2 linked regions of the Danio rerio genome follow. The protein of the gene in region 1 purifies or fractionates together with the protein of each later gene. This does not show direct contact. Links are inferred from orthologs where the notes say so. Each region holds a gene or a part of one and is shown on either strand. Other genes may lie near its edges.

Region 1 (7,893 bases):
ATTGTGTGTTTGCACATTACACAGTTGAGTGCAGCACTTGCAATTAAACTCACAGCGGTTTATCAAAAGCGTTTTATCAATGTTGTTTTGTTTTTTTCACAGTTGGCACAAATAAAAAACAAAGGAGCATTATCTAATTAACAACTTAATGTATCTGGACAAATTATTTTATTATTATAATTATTATTTTCCCTGTAAATATAATGAATGTATCATCAGCATCAGATTGTTTGATTGGCCCAGACTAGACATCTCACACCATCACACATTGCCAGAACTAATTTCCTGTTTTTATTTAATTTTTTCAAAAGGGCCTGTTCACACGTGATCTTTTTTTGGCAATGTACCGGTATTTTTCAGTAAAAGTGTGCATGTGTGAAAGGGGCTATTCTGTAGGGCTTAAGGTGCATGTTGGAAACCAAATGTCCATTACTATGGTGGAATTTCAGCTTCTTTCCAGCCTTCTTAAATAGTGATATGAGAGTAATGATGTTGTCAGTTTTAACATCTCAAGTAACTACAGTGTTTGAAGGTTGAAACAGACATAACCAGGCAGCCAATGAGGACCACAGTTGGGCATTATCCTAAATTGTGACAAACCTACACAATTTCGTGTAGGAAGTGTCTGAGCTCTCCCACTCTTTTAAAGGTTTAAGAAACCCTCGAGTACTTTTTTGAGATTGTAACAGAGTTGTGTGTGTTGAGCATCATTAAGACAACGTTGGCACCAGTTCGCTTTAATTGTGGGAAAAACTGGAAAATTTTGAGCCTTTGTCAGCTAATTTCATCTTCTGGGTTTAAAATCATTATCGGGGCGGGATGAAAATCTGTGATAATGCACCTGTCTGAGGATCTGTCTGTCCAGGGATGACATGTTGGTTTCTCAATATTATTCATAGAGTTTTCTTACGCTATGAGAAGACCCTGCTTCTTAATTATTCATGACCGCACATGCTTTATGGACAGACCTGCCAAGTTGTGAGACGACGAATGGCACGCAGTATATAAATGGTTGTAAAAAGTTGTGTCTGCTTCCATGACCCATGAGGTGTGTTGCATGGCATTCCCTGCAATGGTGTCAGGGCTACTGATACAGCCAACCTGTTTGTGTGTAGCAACTAGCAAGCCTTTTTGTCCGGAGAGCTGTACGAGAATGGGAGAGTGGCAGACTTTGACTTTTATCAGTTAGGTTTGTTACCATTCAGACACATCACCATGCTGCTGTGTTCGACTATATTTAAAATCCACTACATTTCCAGCCAGGGCTAAAGGTTGGAATAGATAGTGAATGAGACCTGCTGTAAGCTACTGTACTGCTCTAGACCTAGGGATTCAGCAGAAGGGAAGTCCTCATTATTTATAGTGTTTATTTACTTATTCATTCATTCACTTTCTTTTCAGCTTAGACCCTTTATTAATCTATGGTCGCCACAGCTAAATGAACCATCAACATATCCAACACATGTTTAACGCAGCGGATGCCCTTCCAGCCGCAACCCATCTCTGGGATGCATAGTGTTTATATAAACATGATTATAATAATAGAACAAATTGTGGTTATGTAGATATATTATATGAAATTACAAACAGTATATCATACATGTAACCGGGCATTTAAATACTGTTTATTTCTTTTGCATTTTAACTTTGTAAACAACAAAATCATGCCATCTCATGTTTTGTGTCAGAATTGTTATTGAGCCAACTGACAGTTGTACACCCCCTCTTTTTTCCCTGCTCTGCCCACTCCTCCCTTCTGCTCACAGCACTCCACCATAGACTTTAGAAAGAAGGGGGTTCATGACACTTTTTAGCAGGTATTTATTTTAAGCACACGTTAAAAAGTATGTAGCTGTTATATGAATGTGGAGTATGCAGAATAGATTTGATAGTTATCATTATCATCTAACCTACAGGCATCAGTTGCATCACTTCACTGTTTGTAATGATTCATTTAAATATCAAAAAAATACTTTTAAGCAAAGATGTTCTAATCATACATTAAGCCATTTTCATTATTTCCAATTATTTACTTTTTTCTTATATGTAGTTACTTATGGGCTTAATTTTCTATTGAAAAAAAAACTCCTTCACACTGCAAAAAACATGACGGTTTCATTATTGTGTGTTGTACCAAGTACTGAGGTCTGTGTTTAATTTAGGTCACTTATGTTGTGAGTGCTGTGTATCTATGGCACAATAGCTGCTGTGTATCTATGGCACAATAGGCTACAGACAATAACAAAAAACTACTGTTGTTTACTTAAATGTTAAGGATACACTTTAAAGCATGGCTTACTTTGGTGGTGAATAAGTAAACTTTTAAACACACAGTTAAACATAATAAAACATTCAAGTGACAAAGATTAAGAAACAACGTTACTTCCACATAATTTGCATTTTACAGAACATGGTTAAGAGAATTTTATTTAGGCTATTTTCCCCCAGTATAGGGAAGTAATTTAGACATTGCTTTAATTAGATTACTGACAACTTGTTTTAGATGGTTCAGAATCTGTTATTTCTAAGTAACACGGGGACTTTACACTTGAGATATTTTGACCACACGGAGGAAAAACCGCAAATGTGGGTACTGGAACAAGCCCATGTATAAAGTACTTCACCTGCCACATCCGCCAACAACTCACACCCCACAGGAAGCCTGTTTGTTTACATCTCTGACTTTCATTGACCTGTAGATGGAGCCAGAGAATCTGGAAAGAACAGAGAGTCGGAAAGTAAATCCAGCCAATAATAACAGACACATAATAAGTACTAGTCACATCGAGACTTTATGATGAGATCATTTCATATGCTATTTTAAATGAATCAGTAACTAATATGATATTTTAAATAAACAAGTAACTAAAGTAAACTAAAACTACTAGCTGTGCGTTGCTTGTGTCTCGGGACTGACCTCTGCTGGTGAACACTATTTATTGCTAGAGGGAAACATGGCTGCCAACAACAGTATCGAGTGGAGGGCCGTGTGCGAGAAATTTCGCCTTGCCCAAGAGCTTTCCGAAATAGAGTCGAAAAAAGACCCAGAGAATAACCCTTTCCGATCGAAATACAAAGCCAGAGATCTGCTGAAGGAAATCCACTGTTCTTTGAAAAAGATTGAAATCGAGGAGCAGGGCGAGGCTGGGGATGAAGCGGACTGTGAGTCCAGCCAAACGGCGGATGGTGAGCCGGAGGATGGTTTTGAGAAAACGTTCACTGGAGACTCTGCAGCCGGCCTGAGAGCGGCCAGGCTCGCGGTGCTGCAATATCATCTCGGCGTGAACCACATAGAGACGGAGGAGCTGTCGGCTGGAGAGCTGCACCTCATGGTCTGCATGAAGCTCATTGACAAGTGCACCACAACACGGGAGAACGTCTCCTTATTTATACATGTCCGGGTAAATTCACACTACATGGATTATTATTTTCTAAAAAGCCTGGTATGACTCAATAAACGTGCTTCTCTTGCTGGTTGACGTATGACGATTGTGTTTTTGACAGAATCAGCTCGGCATTTTGTGGGCGGGAAGAGATGAGATTGAAAAAGCACAAGGATTTCTGGAGATTGCCGAAACGATGTATTTGGTCTACATGAAAGAGGTGTGTTATGCGTGTTTGTTTGATTGTGATGCGTGTGAGCTTCAGCTGTCAAAGTCTTCCTTACCATCAACAACTGCAGATGCAGAGCGTCAGATGCGAGTTCCACATGACGTTGCTATGACGTATTGAGGTAAAGTTAGTTTTACATTCACACAGTCGGACTTTCTCCTTAATAATATTTAACAAAAAAATATTGTTTACAAATTCTCAATAGTGAAAATCATATTAGCAACCACTGACACTGAAAACCTTACCTAAATCTTTAGCACAGCAAGAGCCTGGCACAGCCTTCACACTTGAATGAGTGAAATTTGGTAATCTGGGAGCTCCAGCTGTATTGATTAGATTTATCTATGTGTAAATCTAAATTAAACTATTTAATAACAACTTGAATCAGAAATTATGGCTTCATGATATTTAGCTGTACCCACAGTGGACCAGCAATTAAAATGGATCTACTGGAATGAGCTCTGGGCGCCATCTTCTGTCAAGATGCACAACCTTGTAAGTGTACACTATTGCAGTGCATTGTGGGACTGAATGAGTGCACTTGATAATCACTAGCTGCGTCCCAAATGGCACACTATGCACTTATGCACTATGTACTTATGCACTTACACTTCCAACAGCATAGTATATGTATGTAGTGTCGTCCCAAATGAAACACTACGCAGAAATTCAAACCGCTTCCCTGATGAAGTTTGACGGTTTCCAAATAAATGACCAAACAACCACATAATACCTGCCGTGAGTATAACCTCATTCACTATCGGGAGGTGGTATAATCTCTCTCAGAGGAGAATTTTGCTTTCATAATCCAAAATAAATATATCCAACATGTGCCTCCGATGGCTCCGCCCCTCCCGCTACCATAAGTAAGGCAGCGACTGTGAATTGCGTGAAGTGTCCATCATTACACACCTACTTTTATCTGTTGAATAAGTGCATCATCCGAGTAATTAGAGCGCACTTATTATTTTTAGAGTTTTCAGTGTGAACGCACTACTTACACTATTTCTACTACAAAATGGCGTAGAATAGTGCAAAAGTATGTGATTTGGGACGCACCTACTGTCTGTTTACTCAGATGGGGTATGTGCACACAAACTTTTAATTTCAGTCAGCCCCAGGGCTTCTGGTGAATTTTCATCCCATACAAAATTGCAGTGTTAAAGATCTGATATCTTTAAAAAACAACGATCTTCAATGCCTAGCTGAGATAAGATATAAAATGGGTATCCGACCAAAAAAGAAGCACTGCATTTAATTATATTTTTACCACACCGTGTCTTTAAAATATGGAAATTAATTTTACCCCAGTATTTTCAATGGAGCATCTGTGCTGGCCTGCTGCTAATGAAGGCACCTGCGTTTAAACAGTCTCTTTTTATGCATTAACAACCAAATGAATGCTTAAGTCTAATAAACTGATTATATTTGAATTAATTATGAAATTGAAAATAGTCACATAAACCTGTCATCAGAAGTTCATCATTAGCTGAAAAACACTAGCTGTGCATACAGCCCATTCAGCCCTAATGATGTGGGGCAGTGTTGCCAGGTAAAGCTGATTTTTCCAGCTCAAAAGCTGTCGGAAATGCACATAAAACTCCCAAAATATTATATTAATATTTTATTTTATTTTAGTTAATTTAAATCGAAATTAACCTGGTTACTTTAACTGTCATAATTTTTAACCATACAGCAACCAACACCTGCAGTCACAGAACCAAAACATAACTGGATCACATCGAAACACTGCCTCCTTCTCACCCACACACTGCACTGCACTTAATGTTAGAGTATGTTTTTACGAAATGGGGTATAAATTTGTCCTATTTGGTGTTTTAAATCCTTTTGAACATATTTAGGGGCTGCTTGTCAATCAGACAATGCTTCTGTGTTTGTTCTTGCTGTCAATTGTGGAAAAAAAGATCGATATAAGTGTTATGATAAAGTGCTGTGAGTTTAACTGCAGGCGCTGCGTAATGCGTGTGCACACGAAGGCGAGTCAGATTTGTCCTTGGACTTTCTTTCCCCTCCTCTTACGGGTGGGCCCACTCGGCTTGCACTATGCACCAGTCACTACTAACTGAACGGAGTAGGAGCACACAGTTATGTTTTGTTGAATATTAAAGTTGCATATAAAAGTTATATTTTTTTAAACCTCCCAAATTTTGTCAAAAATTTTTTTTCTTTTACCTGCACAATCAAATACAAACTGCCTAATTGGGCAGGAAATTACCCAATCTGGCAACACTGGTGAGGGATGATTTGGGACCTTGCTTAACGTCTGTTGAATTTTCGTTGATATTGTGAGAGTCAGTTACTATTAGCGGAGAATATAGAAATCATAAGTGACATACACTATATCTTCTCTTTCACAAAATTACTAGTGACTAACAAAACAGTAGAAGGTATAAAAATAGTAGTATAAATAGATCAATCAAATCTATGTTTAAAGGGTAGACATGTTGAAGATTAGCTGCTGCAGATCTGAGTAATGGCAGAGCAGTAGCTTTAGCTATTGTGCTGATCTTGGCAAAGGGAGGCAGGTACGTTTTCCAGTGGCTTTGGCTCTATAAACTGAACAAAATGTGCTGAGTGGTTACTAAGACTGAAGCTGATAACCACTATATTAAACACCTTTAATAAAGGAGAAAGGTAAGTCATATTAAAATGGTAATGTGGAAATAATTTTAATAATTAAAAGCAATATACACAATCAAAACAAAAAATAAAACTGTAAGATGTTGTTTGTATCTTTAGATACAATATTTTGTAATATATTGATTTTATGTGAATTTACAGTATTCCATGACTCAGTTTTCTTTTTTTTTTTAATTAATTATCGATATGCCGTAGTTGCTCGTTTCTTATTGGCGTGACAATTAATTCTAACAAAACTAAAGTAAACAGCACTGAATTTTGCATAGATACACAAATTGGAGTACATTTACATTTTTAAAAATAGCTTTTATTACCATGCATATTTATAATTCATATTACAGAGGTTTCTATAATAATGTCTGATTCACTCAACGATATGGGCTGAATGTAGCTGCATGAGCTTTTTGGTCTATTTGTGAATGTATTCATTAAATATTAATATAATACACAATTAGATTTTTTTCCATATAGCTCTTTAAAATTATTTTCCCTAAATTCTGTTATATTTATTTTACCAAATAACAATCATTTAGTACAGAGATGCCCAAAGTTGGCACAAGGTAACCTTTGATTCGGCCCGCCATCCCATCTGAAAAGAGAGGGAGAATGTTGGTGGTTGGGGCGAATGTCCTTGACAGATGTCGTCATTTTGAAATTTAAATTTAAAGTAATCTTTTGTTTCTTAGTTTAATTCCTGAGCTACAAAAAACGCAACTGAAGTTAAATGATTCAATTAAATGTTGTAAATGAATTAGACTTTTAAAAAGTAAATATTGTCACTTGACAAACAGTACATCTGACATCTACGAGCATATCAAAGTAAAGGCAGGTGCAGCTCAACTAGTGTATTCAACATTGAGCTCCATTGTGTTATAAATGGAAATGTTTATGTTTTTACTGTAAATAGCTTATTATAAAATGTTAAAAACAATGCTGCATTAGATATTAAATACAATTCGAATCAACGTTATCTTTTGTTTATATTATCGAATAAATGAGGCAATTCCCCTTGGCAAGTTTAATGTAACACAGGTTGGTATATTTTTAGCTCACAACCCTCAGTCAAGTTTTGTTTTTGACCCTTTATAGGAAAAAGTTTGGGCACCCCTGATTTAGTTTAAACAAAAATTCAATTATAACAATTGAATGTTTTTCCATTTAATACTTTTAATTGTTGTGATTCTACCCTAATTTTCTACAACACAAAAATCACAGGGCACTAATAGCCATTTTTGTCTCTCTATGGGTATCAGTAAATGATATGAGATTTGTGTTTTGTTTGCTTTATGCACATTAGGATGGTCAACCACCCCTGGATCTTCAAGACTTTTTTGTGCCAGAAGGAGAAGAATTATCCCAACAAGAGAAGATTAGAAGGTAACATCCCTCTCTTTAAATATACTCAATAAAATGACTATGAACCAGGAGTATTTTAACCCCACGTTTTCCCCATATGTGCCGAATAGGTTTGAAATGGCATATACGCACACGCTGTATTACCTGGCTCAAGTGTACAAGAATCTGCAGCAGTATGAGAGAGCTGCACAGTACTGTCACAGCACCCTACAGAGACAGCTGGAGTACAAGCAGTTTGCGCCTCTGGAGTGGGCCATTAATGCA
Region 2 (6,526 bases), on another chromosome or scaffold:
GAATGAACGTTGCCCCGTGGTTCCATCCCAAAGAGGGAAGAAATCACTTTCGCGAACGCTCATGCTCAATCTGCCCAGTTGGTGGAATGAACTCCCTAACTGCATAAGAACAGCAGAGTCACTCGCTATTTTCAAGAAACGACTAAAAACTCAACTATTTAGTCTCCACTTCACTTCCTAATCTGCAATTGCCTCTCTGAATATCACACTAACTGTACCAAAAAAAAAAAAAAAATACTAATACTTCCCTTCTTAGACTTTACAGACCTGAAACTTGCCTATAGCACTTATTCATTGTTGCTCTTAGTTGTTTAAATTGCTTCCTTGTCCTCATTTGTAAGTCGCTTTGGATAAAAGCGTCTGCTAAATGTAAATGTAAAGTAGCCTTTGTCGTCCATTCAAGGTAAAACAATCTTATACATTTATTCATAATATACACTGCAGCATCACCTGTCGCCTTGCGGCTTGTGTTCTGCAAACCCGGGTTGTTAATGAATGTGAACTACTGCACAGGGTTGTAACTACTATTGTGAACTGAAAGAAATTACAATGTTCAAATATACCGTGCATCTGCAAAGTATTCATAGCACTTCACTTTTTCCACATTTTTTTTTATGTTACAGCCTTATTTCAAAATGGATTAAATTAATTTATGTCCTCAAAATTTTACACACAATACCCCATAATGACAATGTGGAAAAAGATTTTTTGAAATTGTTGCAAATTTATTAAAAATAAAAAACATGGAAAATCACATGTACATCAGTAATCACAGCCTTTGCCATGAAGCTCTAAATTGAGCTCAGGTACATTCTGTTTCCACTTATCATTCTTGAGATGTTTGTTTCAGCAGCTTTATTAGAGTTCACCTGTGGTAAATTCAGTTGATTGAACATGAATTGAAAAGGCATACACCTGTCTAAATAAGGTCCAAGGGTTGACAGTGCATGTCAAAGCACAAACCAAGCATGAAGACAAAGGAATTGTCTGTAGACCTCCGAGACAGGATTGTCTGGATGCACAAGGCTGGGAAAGTTATAGAAAACTTTCTGCTGTTCTGAAAGTTCCATTGAGCCCAGTGGCCATCATCATCCGTAAGTGGAAGATGTTTGGAACCACCAGGACTCTTCCTAGAGCTGGCCGGCTATCTAAGCTGAGTGATTGGAGGAGAAAGGCCTTAGTCAGGGAGGTGATCAATAACATGATGGTCACTTTGTCTGAGCTCCAGTGTTCTTCTGTAGAGAGAGGAGAACCTTACTTACAGAAGAAAAACAATCTCTGCTGCAATCCATCAATCAGGCCTGTATGGTAGAGTGGCCAGAAAGAAGCCACTCTCTACCTGGAATTTGCCAAAAGGCATCTGAAGGACTCTCAGATCTTAAGAAACTAAATTCTCTGGTCTGATGAGATTAAAGTTGAACTTTTTGGAGTGAATGCCAAGTGTTAGGTTTGGAGAAAACCAGGCACCGCTCATCACCAGGCTAATACCATCTCTACAGTGAAGCATGATGGTGGCAGTATTACGTTGTGGGGATGTTTTTCAGCAGCAGGATCTGGAAGACTAGTCAGGATAAAGGGAAAGATGAATGCAGCAATGTAGAGACATCTTCAATGATAACCTGCTTCAGAGTGCTCTTGACCTCAGATTGGGCCGACGGTTCATCTTCCAACTGGACAATGACCCAAAACACCACCAAAATATCAATCGAGTGGCTTCACAACAACTCTGTGAATGTCCTTAAGTGGCCCAGTCAGAGCCCAGACCTAGATCTTATTGAACATCTTTGGAGAGTTCTGAAAATGGCTGTACACCGTCGCTTCACATCCAACCTGATAGAGCTTGGGAGGTACTGCAAAGAGGAAAGGGAAATTTCTAAAGACAGGTGTGCCAAGCTTGTGGCAAGATATTCAAAAAGACTTGGCTGTAATTGCTGCCAATGGTGCATCAACAAAGTAGTGAGCAAAGAATGTGAATATCTCCGTACATGTGAGTTTTTAGGTATTTTATTTTTTATAAATTTGCAACAATTTAAAAAAAAATCTTTTTTTCACTTTGTCATTATGGGCTATGGATACTTTCTGGATGTACTGTAGTTCATTTACTGTGGTTAAATTATAAGCTCTCTTGTGATTTTTATTTTTTAAAACAAATTCAAAGGCTAATAATTTTGCTTTTAACTGTACATAGTTTTATTTTCTTGTGGTAAACAAACAAAAAAATGTAGACTTTTTTTGTAATGAAAAGAACAGTTGGATTCTCACCCTGTAATTTAAGGTGGTGATGCAACAGTATACTACAGCATGTGTTTGCATTATTTTACAATAATTCAATGTGCTGGAGTCAACTATTTTACCAATACCATGGGTGCCTTTAGATTTATTTGATTTGATTTTCGACAATTGTAGGTTGTGAAATTATCATTCTGTTTGAATGAATTATCATTCAAGTCATTCTGTGTAGTGATATAGAACTGTAATTTGGTCAAGACCTGTCTAGAACTACTTTAGCAGTGGATTTATCTTTATTTTAATTGATATTGATGTACACTTCAGCATAGTTGTATAAGTTGTCATGTTTTTGTTTTACAGCTGCAGATCTCTAAATGGATGGATGTGGCCCGCTCTCTCCAGAACTACCTTCGCTGCTGTTTGTCGGTGCGTCTCACAAACAGCTGTTGTTGTCATTGAGGTTAACACGTTTGGATTAATGACCGAGTGGGATGCCGCTTGTAAAACGTCAAACCAAAGCGCTCTTATCGCATGTCTTGGGTCGTTTCGTTGTTTAGAAAATAAATAGATTGAGTGGAGTGTCGTCTGTCACCTTAATGTGGCTGTAACTGTTATCTTCAATACACAAACTACAGGCTCACCGTTATTGTTCTGCTAGAGAATGGGATGCTGGGATAAGGAGAAATGAATGTGTCCCACATAATCGCTCATTTTTTCAAACCTACAGTCCTAAACTGTTTGGGCAAAAGCAAATAAGAAACCCATATATATTGGGGAGTTTGTTTATGTTGTTTTTACATATGATATGCTAAATTACAATTATAATATATAATATTTGTAGGTTTGATGTAGTTTTGTTTTTTTTTTGTTTTCGTTTTATTTGTTATTTTAGAGGTTGTTTGATTTGGAGGGATTTTTGTGTTTTTTATTGGAGATTGGGGAGTTAAAGTTGTGTGCTTATTATTATTATATATATATTTTTTACTTATTTATATTTGTTAAGCTTAGGGGCAGCTTTTTTGGTTGGGTGAAGTTTGGTGTGTTATTGATTATTATTTAGTTTGGTATTATAATCTCTTGCCTGTAGAAGTGGTAGGTGTTTTTTTTTTTTTAGTTTAAAGTGTGTATGCTTTTATTTACGTATGTAAATATGTCTGTGAGTGTCAGTTTATTTATTTATTTATTTATTGTTTAACTGTTTTAGTATGGTTTTTGTGTTGTGAACTTTCCCTCTAAGAGATGTTCTACATCTTCTCTTTCACAGAAGAGCTCAGACTCCTCTGAGAATCATTGTGTAGATTATGAAAGCTCAAACTTGTATGACATTCAAAGCACCACTACCAAACTCCTCAAGCTGAACCAGGCTATCAAAGATCTGCATTCGTCTCTGTCACGGTTTCTGAAGGGTAAAGTATTTTACATTGCCGTATTCATACACCAAACCCTTCACAGTTACAGCAAATATGACATTAGTTCACTTTATTGATGTACATTACAGGTAGGAGAAGCGACACTTCCCTTAGTGAAGCGATACAGTCTTCATCCCAGACTATTGATAAAATCATCAGCAGCCTTCCTCATGAAATAACAGGACATTCAGATGGTCTTCAGCTTCAGGATGACGTTCAATCAGCGCTCCAGGCTTTGCTAGCAGTGTTTTCTAACAGCACCGATGAAATTCAGAAGCCGACCACAGACAGACACTTTGTTCAATCAGGTTACAGCAGCAGAAATCGAACCGTCCCTAAAGTTGTGTATTCTCTTTCCTCAGGCATTAGCACATGCTCCAGAGACGCCCGATGGGTGTGATTTAGTTAAGTATATAATGATTTTTGGCATAACTGCAAAATTGTTATGTATATTCTGTTGTTTACTGCACTCATACTGGTCTACCATTGTTTGCCTACAAATTTTGTCTGATTTCTTTGATGGATTTTAATGAAGGGCTTAATGGTACAGCTTATGAAAAGAGGTTTCTGTGTATTTTGTATTATCAAGCATTATCAAAGCATTATAAAAGCTAAATGAGAAAACACTTCACTTTCTGGATATATTTTGCACTTGAAACTTTTGCACAGGCTTTGTCACAGCTGTTTTTCTACACATGGAGATGTGAGTTTTAGCATTTGTAGCAACATGTACTCTGGATCATGTAATTGTTTGATAATAATTTATACTTTCAGTAATAAACACTCACTTGGAACGAGGTCTGGTGTCTTGATTAAACTTACTACATTTCTTTACCATCCTTAAAGTAACTAGAGGTTTCTTAAGCGACTTAAGATTGTAAATATGGTTGGTTCTTAAATCACTATAAGGCTTGGCTTCTTATCTGTCAGACCTGTTGACTGATCATCAGCCTGGTCAAACCAGAGATTACATTCTAAAAACGTTGAGTAATTTATTTAACCCAATGGATGAATTAAAAATATTTGCTGCTTTGTTGGGTTATTTTTTAACCTTTATTGGGGTATTTATTAATAACAAATTGGGTTAAATATTTGGTGCTTTGTTGTGTTATTTTTTAACCTTTATTTAGTTATTAATTTAGTTACTCAACCAGTTGGGTTAAACAGATTTAACTGATACAGAACAGCTGTATTAATATGCATACGTTATGTTGTTTTTGCATTTTAAAGTTTATTTAAGCTCTTAACGCAATAAGTTATTTTTTTTTAGCAAATTATCTCTCCGTGTCGTGTAGTGTTTTTTTTTTTAAATATATATCTGTTTCACCAGCACTCTTATTATTGATGATACAACTGTGCAATTCATAGCCAATCTATATTAAATCATCTACAGTTTTTTTTATTAGAAGCTTTTGAATGTGGTTTAAATGTATTTGTACTTAGTGGACACTGAGTGAAGCCTGCTGCAGCTGCTGGACAGTCTCTACAGCACACAGAACTCTATATTCTGCTCCATCAGCACATGATTTTCTGCTTGCAGTTGCTGTCTGTACTTTGTTCTGTTTTTTCATTGCTTGTGATTTTTGAGTTTAACAAAGTGTCTGGAACTTAAAATGTAACGGAAATAAAGCATTTTCAATATTTTTTAAATTATGTTATTTATTTACAAAGCCATAATTATGACGTTAATATAGCCCTAGTTAGTAATGGTAGCAATAGTAATACCAGAATGAAAAAAATAACATTTAATGAAAATACCAAAATGCATTGGGTTAAAAAAAACCCATAGAAGGTGCTATAATAACCTATAATTGGGTTATATCTTGGGGTATTTTTAACCCAACTATTCCCAGACAGCACACATACGTTGGGCCGACGTCGGCCGAAGGTCAACACGTCGGCCCCTTTAATTCTAACATCGGTATATGGTCGGCCAAACATACGCATGATCGTTCGGTCGTGTGTTCTATTGTTCCAGCTCAACAAACGTCGGCTCTGCATCGGTTAACGACCAGAGGCCGACGAAGCACTTCATAAGCACTTTATCTCTCATGCCCATGAAGGAATCCGGCAACATATTTGGTTTACAAGTAAGTTTTTGCGTGCATAATAAATTAGACAAACGCGACATGCATCATGTCTACTGCGTCGGTCGGTCCAGCTTTAAATAGCCTACAATAATACAGTAAAACTGACCAAAATGCCTACAATACATGATTTCAATTAATTAAAATATAAAAAGTTTTGTTGTTATGCTTAAATAATGAAAACGTTGTTTTTTTTCTGGTGTTAACTGCTGTTTGCTTTTTTTATTGTGGCTTTTTCTAATACATTTTTCCCAGTGTAAAAATGTTCTGCATGTTCGGCTGTTTAATTAAAATAAACACCTTTTTACAGAGTGACATCTTTGTTTTATATATACTTGCATTTATATTTATTGGTTATTTATTTTTGACAGTGAATCTGATGCACAAATAGGCCTAAGTGTTTGTTTTGTAACAGTTTAGTAGGCTATAAAGCTCGTCTTAAAGATAATAGCGTATATAAAACTACTAAATACATTTTTAATTCAATATATAAAATACAAGGTTATTATTTAAATAGTCTATGGAGTGATCATGTTTATAAATGTAATACTGCATGACTTTGATGTGCGCGCGCGCGTCTCATTCCAACACTGGAGCGGAGGGGATGTTGCTATGGGAAACGAAGCTACAACACGACACGACACCACCTGAAAGACACAACACGACTTCTCTCAAGCTGCCGTTTTGACAGTTTTCAGGTAAGTTTAGTCCCTAAAACAAAGCAAATACTACATAAAACTGTTCCTCACACTTTTATTATTGGCAATTGATGAATATTCAGTTGAATATTATGTTATATAA

The links.
Region 2: the proteins of kifbp (region 1) and kif14 purify together in Homo sapiens (affinity purification with mass spectrometry; 3 studies listed by BioGRID and IntAct, counting the BioPlex papers as one, with this or other methods). This does not show direct contact. The link is inferred for Danio rerio from reciprocal best matches to the Homo sapiens genes KIFBP and KIF14.

What each region holds. Positions count from the first base shown.
Region 1 is NC_133188.1:26,243,587-26,251,479, reverse strand, and holds the start of kifbp (KIF-binding protein), read left to right. Parts: upstream 1-2,941; 5' UTR 2,942-2,954; coding exon of another isoform or gene 2,955-3,401; intron 3,402-3,504; coding exon of another isoform or gene 3,505-3,603; intron 3,604-3,682; 5' UTR 3,683-3,733; intron 3,734-7,570; coding exon of another isoform or gene 7,571-7,650; intron 7,651-7,739; coding exon of another isoform or gene 7,740-7,746; coding exon 7,747-7,893. UniProt on the Homo sapiens protein: Activator of KIF1B plus-end-directed microtubule motor activity. Required for organization of axonal microtubules, and axonal outgrowth and maintenance during peripheral and central nervous system development.
Region 2 is NC_133197.1:22,318,913-22,325,438, forward strand, and holds the end of kif14 (kinesin-like protein KIF14), read left to right. Parts: intron 1-2,589; coding exon 2,590-2,655; intron 2,656-3,493; coding exon 3,494-3,635; intron 3,636-3,727; coding exon 3,728-4,038; 3' UTR 4,039-4,433; downstream 4,434-6,526. UniProt on the Homo sapiens protein: Microtubule motor protein that binds to microtubules with high affinity through each tubulin heterodimer and has an ATPase activity. Plays a role in many processes like cell division, cytokinesis and also in cell proliferation and apoptosis.